Oreochromis niloticus: one gene and its partner. The main gene of each other region encodes a partner of the protein of the gene in region 2 in a complex. Links are inferred from orthologs where the notes say so. Each region holds a gene or a part of one and is shown on either strand. Other genes may lie near its edges.

Region 1 (6,954 bases), on a different chromosome or scaffold from region 2:
TAACCAACTATATTTAGAAACAGATAATTTTACCTCCTCTGAGGTCAGACTATTCAAAATGTCAAAACAACAAAAACAGCAGGTAATTTTAAATCCAGTGTAACATCTTCACATTATTCTCCAATACATTTTAATACACATTGTTACAGTGCTGCCCTCTAATGTAATAACCAGCTTATAGAGAGGCAGGGCAGTTGTGCAAAAGTGATGCAAAACAAAACTCAAAGCACTTTGGTGTGACATTTCAATGTGTTTTTATATTTTGCCAGCATTAGAGGCAGCATAGTAGAAACTGTAAGAGTTTGAGTAGTGTTTCATTGTTTCTACCATACATTTGCTTACCAGTGCACAGTTAATCGCTGTCTTTACAAAAGATAGTAGCTGATCTTTATGATTGTGTGTGAGCATATAATATGCTTGCATAAATCAGTAAAGAAAATGTAAATTCACATTAATGTTATAGCTATTCACCTGTGATTAAAAAAAGGTGTTAAACAGGAAATTCAATTAAAACCCTGTGGCTGCTACTATATCAGACAGAGTCTGTGTAGCCAGTGTACGCAGCGCAAACGTGGGCACAGATGGTAAGATGAGCAGAAACAGCTGGTGCTGTGGTGTTTGAAGTCCATAGCTTTTGCATTCCTCTGTAACTAGATAACATTGTTGGGGCTGGTGGGAGAATCCAAGAGGAAAGTCTTCAGTGTTGCCTCTTTGAGCGTTTTCTTCTGTGGAGACAAATAAAGGCTCTTCCTGGGTGAAGTACCGTGATGTGCTGAAGATATAAAAGAGTTTCAGCAGCTCCCAGCAGCGGGCCTTGGAGAGTAATGGACCATCGTAATGGTAACTGGGAGTCCGTACACAGGAGACTGCACGACGTGTTTCGCGGTTGATGAGAAGAAGTGCCAGCACATCGGGGCGCAGGGATACAGACCCTGGTAGGTAGCGTTCTCCAACAGCCAGGCACTCTCTCAGGGTCTCGACCAAGGGAGACCAGAAACGACTCACCAGCCCAGTCTCAGCTCCATGTAGGGATGGGGTTGGACCGCACAGCACACATACGTCTGCTCTGGGCAGCAGCTGGAAGCGGAGAAGACGGTGGGCTACAGTGGGGCTGCCATGAGGAAGGAAAATTGGGTAATCACAAGAAGCCGATCCAGAGGCCGAGAGTGAGCGTATCAAAGCAGAAAGCAGGACAACTTCCTGCGGAGCGAGGCGCCACCACTTTTCAGTTGCCGTAGCAATTCGCCCATGAACAACGAGGCAACCAAACTCGCTGTCTGCAGCCTGAGCAAAACCATCCACTGCCTCCTGAAAAAGAGCGGGGTTTGGGGGCACCAGTGAATCAGCACAATGTGTAAGGTTTCCCAGAATACCCTCCTGCTTGTCCTCCAGCAGCTCATCAATAAGACTGAAGCAGGACCTGAGTTCCCTTTTAAGCCTCTCAACATTCCGGACATTAACCAGCTCATCCAGCCCTAACACTAGCACCATGCAGCCCCACACATTCTCTAGGAGGCGTTGTAGACGGGCCTCCTCCTCTTTGCTGCTGCCCACTCCGCCATCTCCACCTCCACTCACAGCGATGAGCATCACACTGTCCTGGAAAACTCTCCACACCACCTTCCCTCCACCTTGCGTCTCAGAGCAGGTCAACACTACCCCCTGACCACCTCCGAACATGTGAACACCATTTAGAGAGCCTATGACAGAGAAGGGCAGCTGTTTGGAGGCTCCTCTTGTGAAAAGAGGGACCCCGCTGCTGGCTGTGAGACAAAGAAGCTGTGTAGAGCCATCCTGGAGCATCATCGTGGCAGTAGTTGTGATTTAAGGTTATGCATACGCCCAACAATCTAGCTATTTAGCTGCACCAGATTACTGAGCCAGCTAACTAACGGGTTTAAATGAGCTGATTGTATAATGACAATGACCGAGTAAAGTTGCATCAGCTAGGGTGAGCCGTTAGCATCACGTAATCCATTTTCTTCCAGCTCACTGAACCGGCCACGAACAATGAGACAAGCTATGAAGCAGCAAATCTAGCTACTATACCCGAATATATTCTGCCGGCTAGCTTTGTCAGCTAACTGTACTTAATATGTCAGGTTAACAAAAGCAGTTACCGTCGTTTCCACAGTAACGCTGTCCCATGATTCATTCTTCACACTGGTGAGAGCGGTTTCATTCGGCTGGTCGAGCTGCAGTTACGACTTAACCGCTCTGATGTAACCGCTCAAGGAGATGGACATGGAGACCGACCTGGGTTCAGTGCCCGCGTACATGGAACGGCTATTCTCAACACGGGTGTGATTTCCGTACGTTCACATCTCGCGAGAGTTCAACCAACAGCTCACCCACAGTCGCGAGCTCACGAGCAGATAAGATGCCCAGTTCATCATTTTCCCAGAACATTGTTACACAAAATGCTGTACCGTTTGTACAAATGCAAGCTGCAAATCAACATTAAAAACAGCGTGAGCAATTCAGACTAAAGAGTGTCCTTCTGTATACAAATATAATAAAAATGTTTTATGTATAAAGACAATAAAGAATGTCAGTTTTTTTGTATTGCTTTTGTTTGGGGTGGTCCTGGGATAGTAACCAGTTTTTAAATCAAAGATGAGATGTAATTTTATCATCAGTATATGCTGTAATTAAATAATATTAACTTTTAAAATAAAGAGGACTCCTGTTACTAACCCAATACAATGGAATTATATATATACATATATACATACATATATACATATATACACACACACACATATATATATATATGTGTATATATATATATATCTATATATATATATCTATATATGTATGTATATATATATATATATATAGAATAGAATAGAATAGAATTCAACTTTATTGTCATTGCACATGTCACAGGTACAGGGCAACGAAATGCAGTTTGCATCCATCCAGAAAGTGCTTTAGTCGTGATATAGATATATTACAATATAAATTAGCAATAATAGAGATGTGTAAGAATTTGCCCCCCCCAATTCTGAGATTAAATTCTGACTTTTTTATATGTATATATACATACATATATATACATACATATATACACATTAATATATATATGTTTATATTTTTAAGCCGGGTTTTTGCAAACAATGCATCTGGGACGTTTTTACGGAAGAGGATTAGGGCAATTGGGAAAAAAAGAGTGGGCACGTCTTTTTTTCTTTTCTTTTCTGGAATTCTGAGAAAAAAGTCAGAATTTAATCTCAGAATTGGGGGGGCAAAGACATGCCTTTTTCCCCCCAGTGGCCCTAATCCTCTTCCATAGTTTTTCCACCTACTGTTCACAGAAGGAATGGTCTCGATAGAAGCGCAGCCATCATTGCCACTGTTAGATTTTGTTCCACCATGTTAATACTATATGGGAACCATCCGATTGGTAACAACCTAATTTTTTATCAGGGATCTGCCAATACAGTAAAAGCATAGGTGGATAGAAAAATACAGTGGGCCACCGTCAGTCATGGATTGACCCCCCAGAGCCCAGGTCTCAACAATATCCAATCAGACAGAAGGCAGCAAACATCCAGACAGCTTTGATTCTCATTCAAGAAGCCAGGTGAACTATTCCTGAAGACTCCTTAAAGAAATTACTAGAAAGCTTGTCTCAGAGTTCAGGTGTTGAAGAGTCATCACACCAAATACTGATTTTCAAACTCTTTAGACGTGGACAAACAGTTTTTGCTTATAGATTATATTTCCATGTATGTTTCAATAATGTTCATACTGTATTTCCATGTGTGCTTATATAGATTTCAATAAATTGCTGGTCTCCTTTCCAATTTCCATATGTCCTCTCAAGTTCTTCCACATCCTGTATCATAAATGTAGTTGACTACATTAAGTTGACTCAGGTAACTGTGTTATTACTGTGCTTTTAGGTTTAACTGCTGCCTTTGATACAGCGGATCATAAAATTTTTATTTCTCATTTAGAGCAGTTGGTGGGTGTTAGCAGTACTGCACTGCAGTGGTTCAGATCTTATTTGGCAGAGGAAACTTTCTCTGTGAAACTTTGTGAGTTTGTATCCTCTGCTGCTTCTCTTCAATGTTGAGTCCCACAGGGTTCAGTTTGAGGCCTTCTTTTCTCCCTATACCTGCTACCCCCACAGCTACATATACACCTACCTGCTCCCTTAGGTCCTCCAATCAGCAGCTCCTTAAGGTGCCAAAACTAGGCGTAAATTTAGAGGTGACCGTGCGTGTGCTGTAGCGGGTCCAAAGTTGTGGAATCATCTGCCCTTGCAGGTTAAGCAGACCTCTTCTCTTTCTGAGTTTAAAACTCAGAAAACATTTATTTGCTGAAGCCTTTAGCACTTTTTAAGAAGTTGACTGTTTTTTTCCCTAATTCTCTATTCTTAATGTTTGATTTGTTTATTTTCTGCTTATGCTATTTGTATATGTACAGCACTTTATGGACCCTGGTTTATTTTAAAGTGCTTTATAAATAGGGTGGCTGTAGCTCAGGTGGTAGAGCAGGTCCTCTACTGATCGGAAGGTTGGTGGTTCGATTCCTGGCTTCCCCTAGTCTGCATGCCAAAAATCCTTGGGCAAGATACTAAGATACTAACCCCAAATTGCTCTCCGATGTATCCATCGGAGTATGAATGTGTGTGTGAATGTTACTTAGAAAGCACCTAGAAAAATGTGCTTGGGTGAATGCACAAGTTGTGTAAAGCGCTTTGAGTGCTCAGAAGAGTAGAAAAGCGCTATATAAGAACCAGTCCATTTACCATAAATAAAGGTGGCAAGGTACAATAAGTTGAATACAGGAAACAAATCCTGTCAAATTTAATGTACAGTAAATGTACAATAAACTATGTATGCACATTTAAATATCACAGTTTGGAGTCCTGATCATGAGTTATGACACTTGTTCAAATACTTTGATTTAAGAACAAAAAAAACGAAAAAAGCAGCACAAAAATCTTAAGTTGCTTTAAATTTTACACTATACTCATTTTAATTTTGGCTCAAGAAACAGATCAAAGTACTTCTCCCATCACCAATTTCATGTATAATGCAGTATCTTTTGACCCAAACTCTTCCTTTGGTCTACTTAATGATTCATACACAAGCTGTTTCCATAACTGTTGCCTCTAAGGCTACATGAAATTTGACAATAATATGGAACTATAAAAAAATCATAATTCAGGAAATTGATAAACAAGAAAAGGATAATGGCAATAACTTGAGTAGTAAAGAATATTTTATTCATTAAATACAAAAAAGTTGAGAACAGTGATGACTAAAATAGAATAGAAAAGGCACAATAATTGAGTCAAAAATCACACTGTGCCGTGGAAAATAATACAGTCTCCTGTCTTCTACCTTATCTAAAAATAGGCAGTCTTCTTCCCGTTTTAAATCCATTGAGTTCTACTTTTGAGAATTCCCGTGGCAGTATAATGGCTTGGCATAAGGAGCAGGTGCTGAGGTCAATTTTTCCCTGTAGCATCAAAATGAAGGCCTACAGAACAAGGAAAAAAAGAAAAGAATCATTTTAAATGGTTAAACAGCTCAGGATGAGAAGATTTTATTCAGACTATTTTTATTGATTTACAATGCAACTGTATTTGTATAAACTGAAACAAGGTTTCACAGTATTAAAAAAAGCAACTCTTTTAGTATCCACCGGCAGGTCACACAAGCATTAGATCAATTTATTAGAAAATACTGTCAATGTTACTGTCAAGTCTCAGATGTTTTTCAATTCAAGAAAGAAATCTGAATACACAGTAAAGACGGCATGTGTAGCTCAGCAACAGAACATGTGCATATTCAAAAGTGTGGCCGACTTACCAATGGACACAGTGGTTTCACAAGAAGGAGCAGACCTTCTGCGGCCTGAAAGGGTTGGTGCTGGATGACACACCAGTGAGCAGAGGGTCTTGGAGAGCATTCTGTATGCAAAACTGTTGTAGATCTGCAGCTGCCTGGGAAACCTGTTGAAGACAAGAAAAAGTACACAAGTCATTTAGAGCAGGTGCATCCCAATATTTTTGAATGACTGCTCAGTCACCTGTATGATGCTTTTTGCTTTTTGGAGCTGGGAAGAATGGATAATGGACTGGATGTTATATAGTGCTTTTCTACTCTACTTGAGCAATAAAAGTGCTTTATACAACATGGCTCATTCAGCCATTATTGGAAGGTTTAAGTGTTTTCTATCCAACATCGGGGTTAGCATCTTGTCCAAGAATGTTTGCCATACAGCCTGGAGGACCTAGGGGCTGAACCACCAATCTTCCGATTGACAGATGACCTGCTCTACCAGCCACCCCTGAAACTGTAGACCTGAACAGGGCTAATAATACTTCACTGCACAACTGTAAAGGAAACTGTGGGATGCACTTTTTAAGCCTGACCAATATCAGAGATGAAGCCTTGGTGTCCAATTTTGCTTGCGGCATAACTGGAAATGCAGGAACTCTTTTAAAATAGATGCTCTTCATTTACATGGGACTGTAAACAAGGCACATTTTCTAGAACCATGACTGAATCCAGTGTTTTAGGTTGTTTGAATGTTGTTATAGAGAGTATTTGGGAACATGTTCAGTGTTTGAATTTGCAGAAGCAGCCAATAAAAACTCTCATTCTCATTCTCATCATTCATCAATTATGTGCTGATGTCAAGTTCAAATCTTATTGTTATATACAGCAGCAAGTACAAGTTGGTAGCCAGCATACTCCTTTGCCTTGTACATTTGATATAATTGACAAAATTCTACTTTGCAGTTGAAAACACACAACATGTTTATACAGTGTGACACTAGATTAAAACCACAGCAATCTCTGGATGGAAAACACTATACACTGCGGGATATCGCAGGAATGCTGAGAGACCTTTTCACATTTTGGCTTATGTGAGGACACAGATCAATAGTGGGTTAACGACCCACAGGAACCACCTCCAAATGGGACAGTC
Region 2 (7,757 bases):
TAGGAAATGCTGCCCCTGCCTGGTGAAACTGTGTCATTTCACTGTACATAAATCACTACTACTACTACTTCTTAACTTATTGTCCCACAAATATCTGCTTTACATGGGCTGCACACTGCAAGCAACAAGGTATAATCTTGTTCTCCCTTTGTTCATAAGTGGCAGATTGACAGAAGGACCGGTACACTGTCTGTAGCGATGGAGAGATTGTTGTAATGAAGAGAGCAGATCATAACAGTGAAGCTGTCAGGTAAGGACAGGAACATAGGGTATTGCTACAAGATGTGTGAAGAATAAGATTAGAGACAAGCACCTTCTAGGTAAGGCGTTTCAGGCATACCTACCTACCTAAAAGAAGCCAGGATAGACCCAGCAAATATGACTTTTGGAGGTTTTGGAAACACATCCTGAGGATTTTTGACCATTCTGCAAATCTTTGAGGTTTTTGGTTCACAAAAATCATGTTTTTGAATGTCTCCCAGAAAATATTTTGCTTGAAGGAAAATTAAATGTTTGCTTGCCAGAAAAAAAAAAAAAAAAAAAAAAAAAAAAAAAAAAAAAAAAAGGGACTTCATGTCTTACTGACATCTGCCCGCATGAACAGCAACTGGAAAACTCACTATTGTGCAAATTTAAAAAACAAACAAAAACAAAACAAAAAAAAGAGCATTGTTGAACCACAAATGTAACCAGTAATGTTAAAAACCATTAATCTTATGAGGAGCATCAGGATGAAGAAAAGATGGAAGAACAATAAAGTAAAATATGAGGATCATATTATAGGCCTTTTCTCAAGCACAGCCAAAAGCATCCAAGTGTGAGTATACTCCAGCTATAAAATATCATGCTTTCATCTAGAAACCATCAACTCACAGTAATGAAATCGCCTTTAAGCCAATCATCATCCTTGATTGCATCAAAGCAGGTCACCTCACTGCCGGACATGTTGACCTTGCAGTGGTGAACATCTGGGTATTGGGTGGAGGAGTGGTTCCCCCAGATGATCACATTCTTCACCCGAGTGGCTGGAACACCACAGCGCATCGCCACCTACAGGATACGAAGTAAAGTCAGGTTTTCAGTCAGCCACGATTGACAATGTGGCTGCCAAACATCTGAGACTGACATCAGAAAGTGAAAGAAGTGAGAGGACTGTACCTGAGAGCGAGCCCGGTTGTGGTCCAGACGGGTGAGGCAGGAAAAGTTCTCTTTGGGGATAGAGGGAGCAGACTTGGCTGCAATCAGACAGTTTGTGTTGGCAGGGTTTCCCACAACCAGCACCTGAACACACAAACCAATTTAAAAACATATGCCATGTAGATTTTATGTCTTATTACTATCATGAGTAAATCGACCAAACTTGTATTATGCAACACCGAGAAGGGAAAAATGTTTTGGCATCAGGAAATACTTCATTAAGATTTTGCTATTTTTCCCAGTAGCACAAAATGTTTAGGAAACATTTCTATCCATTTGGCAGAGGCTGAGAAGTTTCTTTCAGATTTGCTCACTTGACAGGAAGGGAGTGTTTTACATCAAAAAATATGCTTCCAATTACCTTCACAGTCTTCTTGGCATACTTATCCAGGGCAGCCCCTTGGCTCTTAAAGATGGCCACATTGGCTTTAAGCAGGTCCTTCCTCTCCATACCCTCCTTTCTGGGCATTGAGCCCACCAAGATAGCTGCATCCAGGTCCTTGAAGGCTACCTCCTCTTTGTCAGTGGGTATGATCTCTGTAGAAGGAGAAAATTAATTGCCAATAGGTTTTTAAAACTCCACTCTTTGGCAATTTGTCAACTTTGAACCTTGAGAGGGATTATTAAGTTCATAGTGGAATTTGTTCTCCACCTGAAGAGAACCAGTCAAATGTGTAAAAAAAAAAAAAAAAAAAAAAAAAAAAAAAAAAAACCCCACACACACACACACACACACACACACACACACACACACACACACACACACACACACACACACACACACACACACACACACACACACACACACACACACACACACACACACACACACACACACACACGTAAAAACTTTATAGTACCTGCAACTTTTTGCAGAATGCCTTTGAATTTCATAACAATATACTAGGCCTTTGGGGGGGGACATAAGTACTTAGGTTGGTTAAGGATTTAACCTTTACTGTTAGCACCCAAGGTGGAAGTAGACCTCACTTTTATTTGATACAGGGGTTTTTTTAGCAAAACTCAATCAAAAATTATTAGCACTGTGGTGAAATTGTGTTTACAAACCATATTAGTGAGAATTGGGGATGCATTTAAATGACCATAAAATATATTTTTGTTTATTAAACTGAAAATAGCAGGACAATACTTGAGATTTCTGACAATGCCATAATACATGGGCAAACTGAGTTTCCAATACATGATCCCCCCAAAGGCCCATTTTGAACTGGAAAAAAAAATGAATTCATTTTAAATTAATGGCACATCAGATCTTTACTGCAATATGTGAACATTGTGTCAGCTCCTGATGAAAGTTGCATGACTAAAAGTTGTTCTCACACACTCCCTAAAACTGTTCCAACAAAAGAACATGAGGTACACAGGAAGTCCTTCCTGTTTGTGTTGTGCATCTGACATTTACCGTGTTGTCACCTTTCTTTTTGAATTGTTTGAGACAAAGCATCACTCTAAATTGCAATCATAATATTTAGAAAAAAAGGTGACCAGTTTGATGAGAACTGCATTTATCTTTGTCTTGATGTGCATGAGGTGTTGTCTTTGCATCGTGGCTGGTTAATACAGGGGCCTCTTTCAGCCCCCGTGCAAACAAAAGCAAAGAACAGCACCACTGCAAAGTAAAAATTCCAGGTCACAATGGAGATGGCACATAGTGGCGCCTCATGACTGAGTCCATGACAGCAGCCACGAAACACACACCAAAAAACTAAAAAACAAACCAAAAACCAAAAAACTGGGTCCATACTCAGACAAGAAAATGAGCCCATTCTGTGCAAACAAATCTCTACAGCTTATTCAAGAGAAACCATCCACCTCCAACAAGAAGGGTGTAGTTGCTCTTATTAGCTAACATCTACTCAAGGATCATATTTTGGGATATGTAGGTATAGAAGGAAAGGTGAATTAAAACATTTACAAGGTGATCCTTCTGCCAAAAAACAAAACAAACAAACAAAAAAAACATGAAGAAATTGTATCTGTATAAATGGGGAAAAAAAGATAATTTAGCTACTTCTGCTTTTAAATATCCAGTTTGTCAAAAAAAGAAAAAAAAATGCCTACAAAAAAAAAAAAACCAAAAAAAAACCAAACTGGTATTGCTCAATTATTTGAGCAAAGCCTTAAATGATTACCTTTCAGAAGTGGAAGGGCACAGTCCTGCAGCTCCATGACTACACCTTCCAGGACCGGCAGCATGGGGGTGATGTCCAACAGGAGCAAGCTGATTGGCTGCCATAAGAAAAATGAAATAACTGAATTTAAATGATTATTATGAAATTGCATAATAATCCCTGTTTACCATTACATGTCAGTGGGAGACTTAGTTCTCTGGGACAGCGTGAGAAGGCCTAAGCCATGTACCAATTGGATCAAGTGGCTTTAAAGTTGGCGTAAGACTCTTGGCACAAGAGCCACTTCATTGACTTCAAGGACAGTCCAGGGTGATCGGAGCAGTCATGAATAAGCTAGTGTAACCCAATCAATTTCCAAAGGAACAACATACAGTATGTGCAATGTCATCCCAGATATGACCTGGAAAATTTGTGACATTCCCAGCTGTCAGTTTCATGGGTGCGCCTGGTGACAGGCAGAGGGAACTGAGTTTTTAACAAGCGCAGGGCAAAACCCTTCTTTACCTGGTCTTGGCCAAACACATCTCCTTTGGCAATGCTGAACAACAGGGAATAGGCAATCTGCCCAGCAGCACCGGTCACCAGAACTCTAATAGGCTCAGCCTGCAAGACACAAGGTGAAGAAAACTGCTGTTAGCAATCATAGCATTGAGTTCTCTCATAGCACACACATGAAAGTTTAACTGCAACTGCACGTGGGCTGGGTGTCTATTCTTGTCTAAAAGATTTAGTAAAGCAGGGGGTGAGTTCAAAAATAGACATGTGCCTGCAGACACGACTCAGGGTTGCATAACAAATGAGTATATACTTGGGAGATCAGCATCAATTTAAAATAACCAAAATTAGAAAAGTGTCACGTGACTTTGACACGAAACGAGACTTTTTAAATAAAGTCAACTTTTGAGTCCTCTGGTTGGCTGCGTCATGCCGTGAGCTAGAAACAACGCATACCTTACTTTGTGAATTTCCTGCATAAGCAGGGTGAATATCAACAGTTTAATCTCCATTGCAGAAAAAAAAAAATAAGATAACCAACATATTTACTGTATCTACTCACCATACTGCCAAGACAAGCAGGACGTCCCTCACGCTTCTCTGTTTCTCCCACTTGTCGCTCAAGCCAGAGGTCACTCGTATTTAAGCTCTTTTGATTACGACACTTAAAATAGCTAAACGGCAGCTTGAGGATCCATGTAGTTGTAGTTTTCATCGTTTGTGTAGTCTTTTAGGTATTTTTCAAATGCCACATAAGTAAGCCAGCTTCAACAAGAAATGTATTAGCAAGCAAATAAACAATCCTACAGACTGCAATACTGTTACCGATGCTATAAAAAATGCTTCTCCATGATATCGATATTTACTGTGCTAGCTGGTTAGCATAGCCTTGGAAGATTCGCTTACCGTTGCTTAGCGACCTTGCTAGTAGCGTGAGTGCAGTTTGTCATTAGCTTAGCAAACATATACACAGACGAACAGATGGTGCAGTTAATTTGGCAGAGGAGTGAGATGATCAGGTGAGACTATCTTTATATATTAGGGTACAGTACAGTTCGTAAGTCTAGGTTAATGCTAGTAGCTATCTATCTGTAGTGAACAGTCAGTATGAAAGTTTTGTAGTCGCTATTAAGTTTAAGAAAACGCTGAAGTCATTCGGGTGGAGAAAGACCAGACACTGCTGCAGCCCTCGTCAATGAGCTAATTGAGGTAAGTTGTTAATAACCTGTTTTATTCGATATCCCCGTTTCCTTCGTGGGAGCTGTGTTATGGACCATTCTACAATTGCAGGATATTTTCAGTTTCTCACATGAATTTGAAAACAATTCATGCACAAAATACTAGAACAGGACAAAAGGTAAACGTAGTAGTTGAAAAAGTGGTTCCAAAATATTTAAAATGCAAAACAGTATTTGAGACCCCCTCCCCTTTTGCACTAACGTTTTGAAAACCAAATTGCATGTCAACTAACAGTTAAAATACTTAAAATACGTTATGAATCTTTTGTTGTTGTTGTTTTTCTGTGTTTGTTGACATATCTCTCCTATAATACAGCAATAACTCCGAACAGTAATTATCCTCTGCAAATTTTGTCCCACCGTATATGCACAACCCTGATACTGAAGTATATTCAGTCTGGAAAAGGAAGCAACAGAACCGTCATGACAAAGACGAAATGACACGATTGAGTTGTGTGTTAACAATATAGGTCAACTAAAAGTCAGACCTCTTTGATACATTTAGCATTTTCCCTTTTAGTATTTTCTGACCTTCCGACCTTGTTACCCGTGTTACCAAAATAAGATTAATTAATTTCGGTTTCCTTCCTTTTATATAACTATATTTATCATTGACTGTCACAGTGCATTAGGTTCCAGAGCTCACATCTGTCAATACCCTGTTTTGCCCCACTATGTTAAATGCATATAAAGCAAAGAATACAAACACGTGTTAACAAAGTAATATTTTATTCAAAAAACATTTCTGTAGACCTGAATATTTTTTTCTAATCTACAAATTAAAACTCATATGTCGATTCTGCATACAAGAGTTTAATGTGTTGCCTTTGTAATAGTTTACATTTTTCTATGAATAGTATTTTTAAGATTTCAAAATAGATGCTGAAATTCTTAAAAAGGTTGACTACTGAAAAGTTGGGTAAGATAGATTTTAAGTTGCTTAAGTTAACATAAATTAAGTGTTAATTTAATAGTATTTAGTGTGAGGGTGACTATCTTTAATTTAATGGTCAAAGATTTAATAAATAATACTTTTCAAATCAACTTTTCCAGACTGAAGTATTGGCAGCAGGGTTGTGCCAAGCATAGCATACAGTAACTAAAATATCTTATAAAAAGTGTATCTTTGGTTGGTAGTTGGAGAGATACATTTTTTTTAATGATTTATTTGTTTTTTTTTATGTATAACAGAAATGTATAAAATGAAGGGTTGCATTTTTTTAAGCATAAATTGTTCTCCAGTTGTAGTTGTGCTAACACAAACTTAATGCTTCTTTATGTAAATTCTTTTTGTAGTTTTTTGCCTTTAAAGCAATAGTCTAGACCTATCATAGCCAAGGTATGACAGAGTGAAGTATTTTTGTGCTTGAATACAAGTTATGATCTGTTTTTACCGAGTCCTCTCCTGTTGTGAGTCTCCTCACCTGTACTTCCTCAGGAAGGGAAGTGTTTCTTTCTGCTGTCTTGTTTTAAGTTGATCAGTTAGTTGAGCGTGGGCATCAATATTTTATGGCTTCATTACAGGCTCATTACATGACTTGAACAAAAAGCAAATGAGATACTGTTACACCTGAATGGTATCAGACTTACTCCAGACTAAACTAAATACCAATTACATTCACAGCCCCTGTTTTTAGACACTTTACTAGTAAATGTTTCATGTCAAAAAATGATATCCTTATGTAAACTGTTCAGTTCAATTCAGTTTTATTTTTTCCCTAATCACTTTTTGACACAATATCAGGTTGGACCTCTTTTACTTTTAGAGTTGCCTTAATTCTTGATTTTCTCTATTGGCTGCACATCCATAATGCCATGCTCCCATTCCACGCCAATCCAAAAGTGGTGTTTGGACTTAGATCCAGTTCAAACACCACTGTGTTTTATGGACTAAATCTTAAGATCTGATGGCTGTGGAGAACATTTGAGTTAAGTGAACTCACTATTATGTTCAGGAAACCAGTGTATTCAGAAGTTGGGTACAATGCTCAGGTAGGCTGTGGTGTTTGCTCAGTGTCCAAGGGCCCTAAGTATGAAAAGAAAATATTCCCATTATCCCATAACACCATTAAAGCACCACCAGCAGCCTGAATTGGTGATATGAGGCGGTTTGTATTTTATTTTCAGCAAGTTCTGATCACACTGTCCAAATGTTGCAACAGAAATTAAGACTCATCAAACCAGGCAATATTTTACAAATCCTATATTATCCAATTTTTGTGATTCTGTAGGAATAAATCACCTTTCTACCGCATTCTGATGCATGGTCTGAACTTCAGGAGATCAGCCATTGTCTATGTCTAAATGGATTGGGTTGTTGCCGTGTGATTAGTGGATTAGATTTTTGGGCAAATGAGAAGCTGAACATGTGTATCTAATAAAGTGACTAGTGAGTGTATATTATTCTGATTGAGGTATTGATAGTTTGAGCACATTTGTTTTGTTTTGGTTTTTGATATTTGGGATTGTATTGGTTATTTGTAAATAGGAGTTTTAAGTAAGTAAACTACAACTGCAACAAAGTACTGGAACAAACTCATCAGGAGTTTTATCCACATTAGAGACAGACTGCCATGAGTAGATCTGTTTGGCTGATGAATGAATTAATAAATTTGTCCAGCACCAATCAATAACATCTCTAATATATGGACTTATTCTTTATCCATACTTCTGT

Evidence for each region. The genes of interacting proteins can lie anywhere in the genome.
Region 1: the proteins of wdpcp (region 2) and fuz are in contact, whole or in part, in a cryo-EM structure (PDB 7Q3D), measured with the Homo sapiens proteins. The link is inferred for Oreochromis niloticus from reciprocal best matches to the Homo sapiens genes WDPCP and FUZ. Residues at the interface, in NP_056994.3 of Homo sapiens: Arg55, Ile57, Asn75, Lys78, Leu82, Glu418, Asp419, Arg420, Leu421; in NP_079405.2 of Homo sapiens: His293, Glu372, Glu373, Pro374, Arg379, Gln397, Pro399, Thr400, His401, Gly402, Ser405, Leu406.

The regions. Positions count from the first base shown.
Region 1 is NC_031982.2:20,160,655-20,167,608, forward strand, and holds fuz (protein fuzzy homolog), read right to left. Parts: upstream 2,115-6,954; 5' UTR 1,807-2,114; coding exon 1,632-1,806; intron 1,509-1,631; coding exon 508-1,508; downstream 1-507. Other genes in the region: guanine nucleotide-binding protein G(I)/G(S)/G(O) subunit gamma-5, read right to left, coding at 5,846-5,971. UniProt on the Homo sapiens protein: Probable planar cell polarity effector involved in cilium biogenesis. May regulate protein and membrane transport to the cilium.
Region 2 is NC_031978.2:7,703,794-7,711,550, reverse strand, and holds the start of wdpcp (WD repeat-containing and planar cell polarity effector protein fritz homolog), read left to right. Parts: upstream 1-4,736; 5' UTR 4,737-4,864; intron 4,865-4,920; exon of another isoform or gene 4,921-5,054; intron 5,055-7,757. Other genes in the region: mdh1ab (malate dehydrogenase 1Ab, NAD (soluble)), read right to left, coding at 874-1,050, 1,159-1,281, 1,559-1,734, 3,351-3,447, 3,855-3,953, 4,408-4,560. UniProt on the Homo sapiens protein: Probable effector of the planar cell polarity signaling pathway which regulates the septin cytoskeleton in both ciliogenesis and collective cell movements.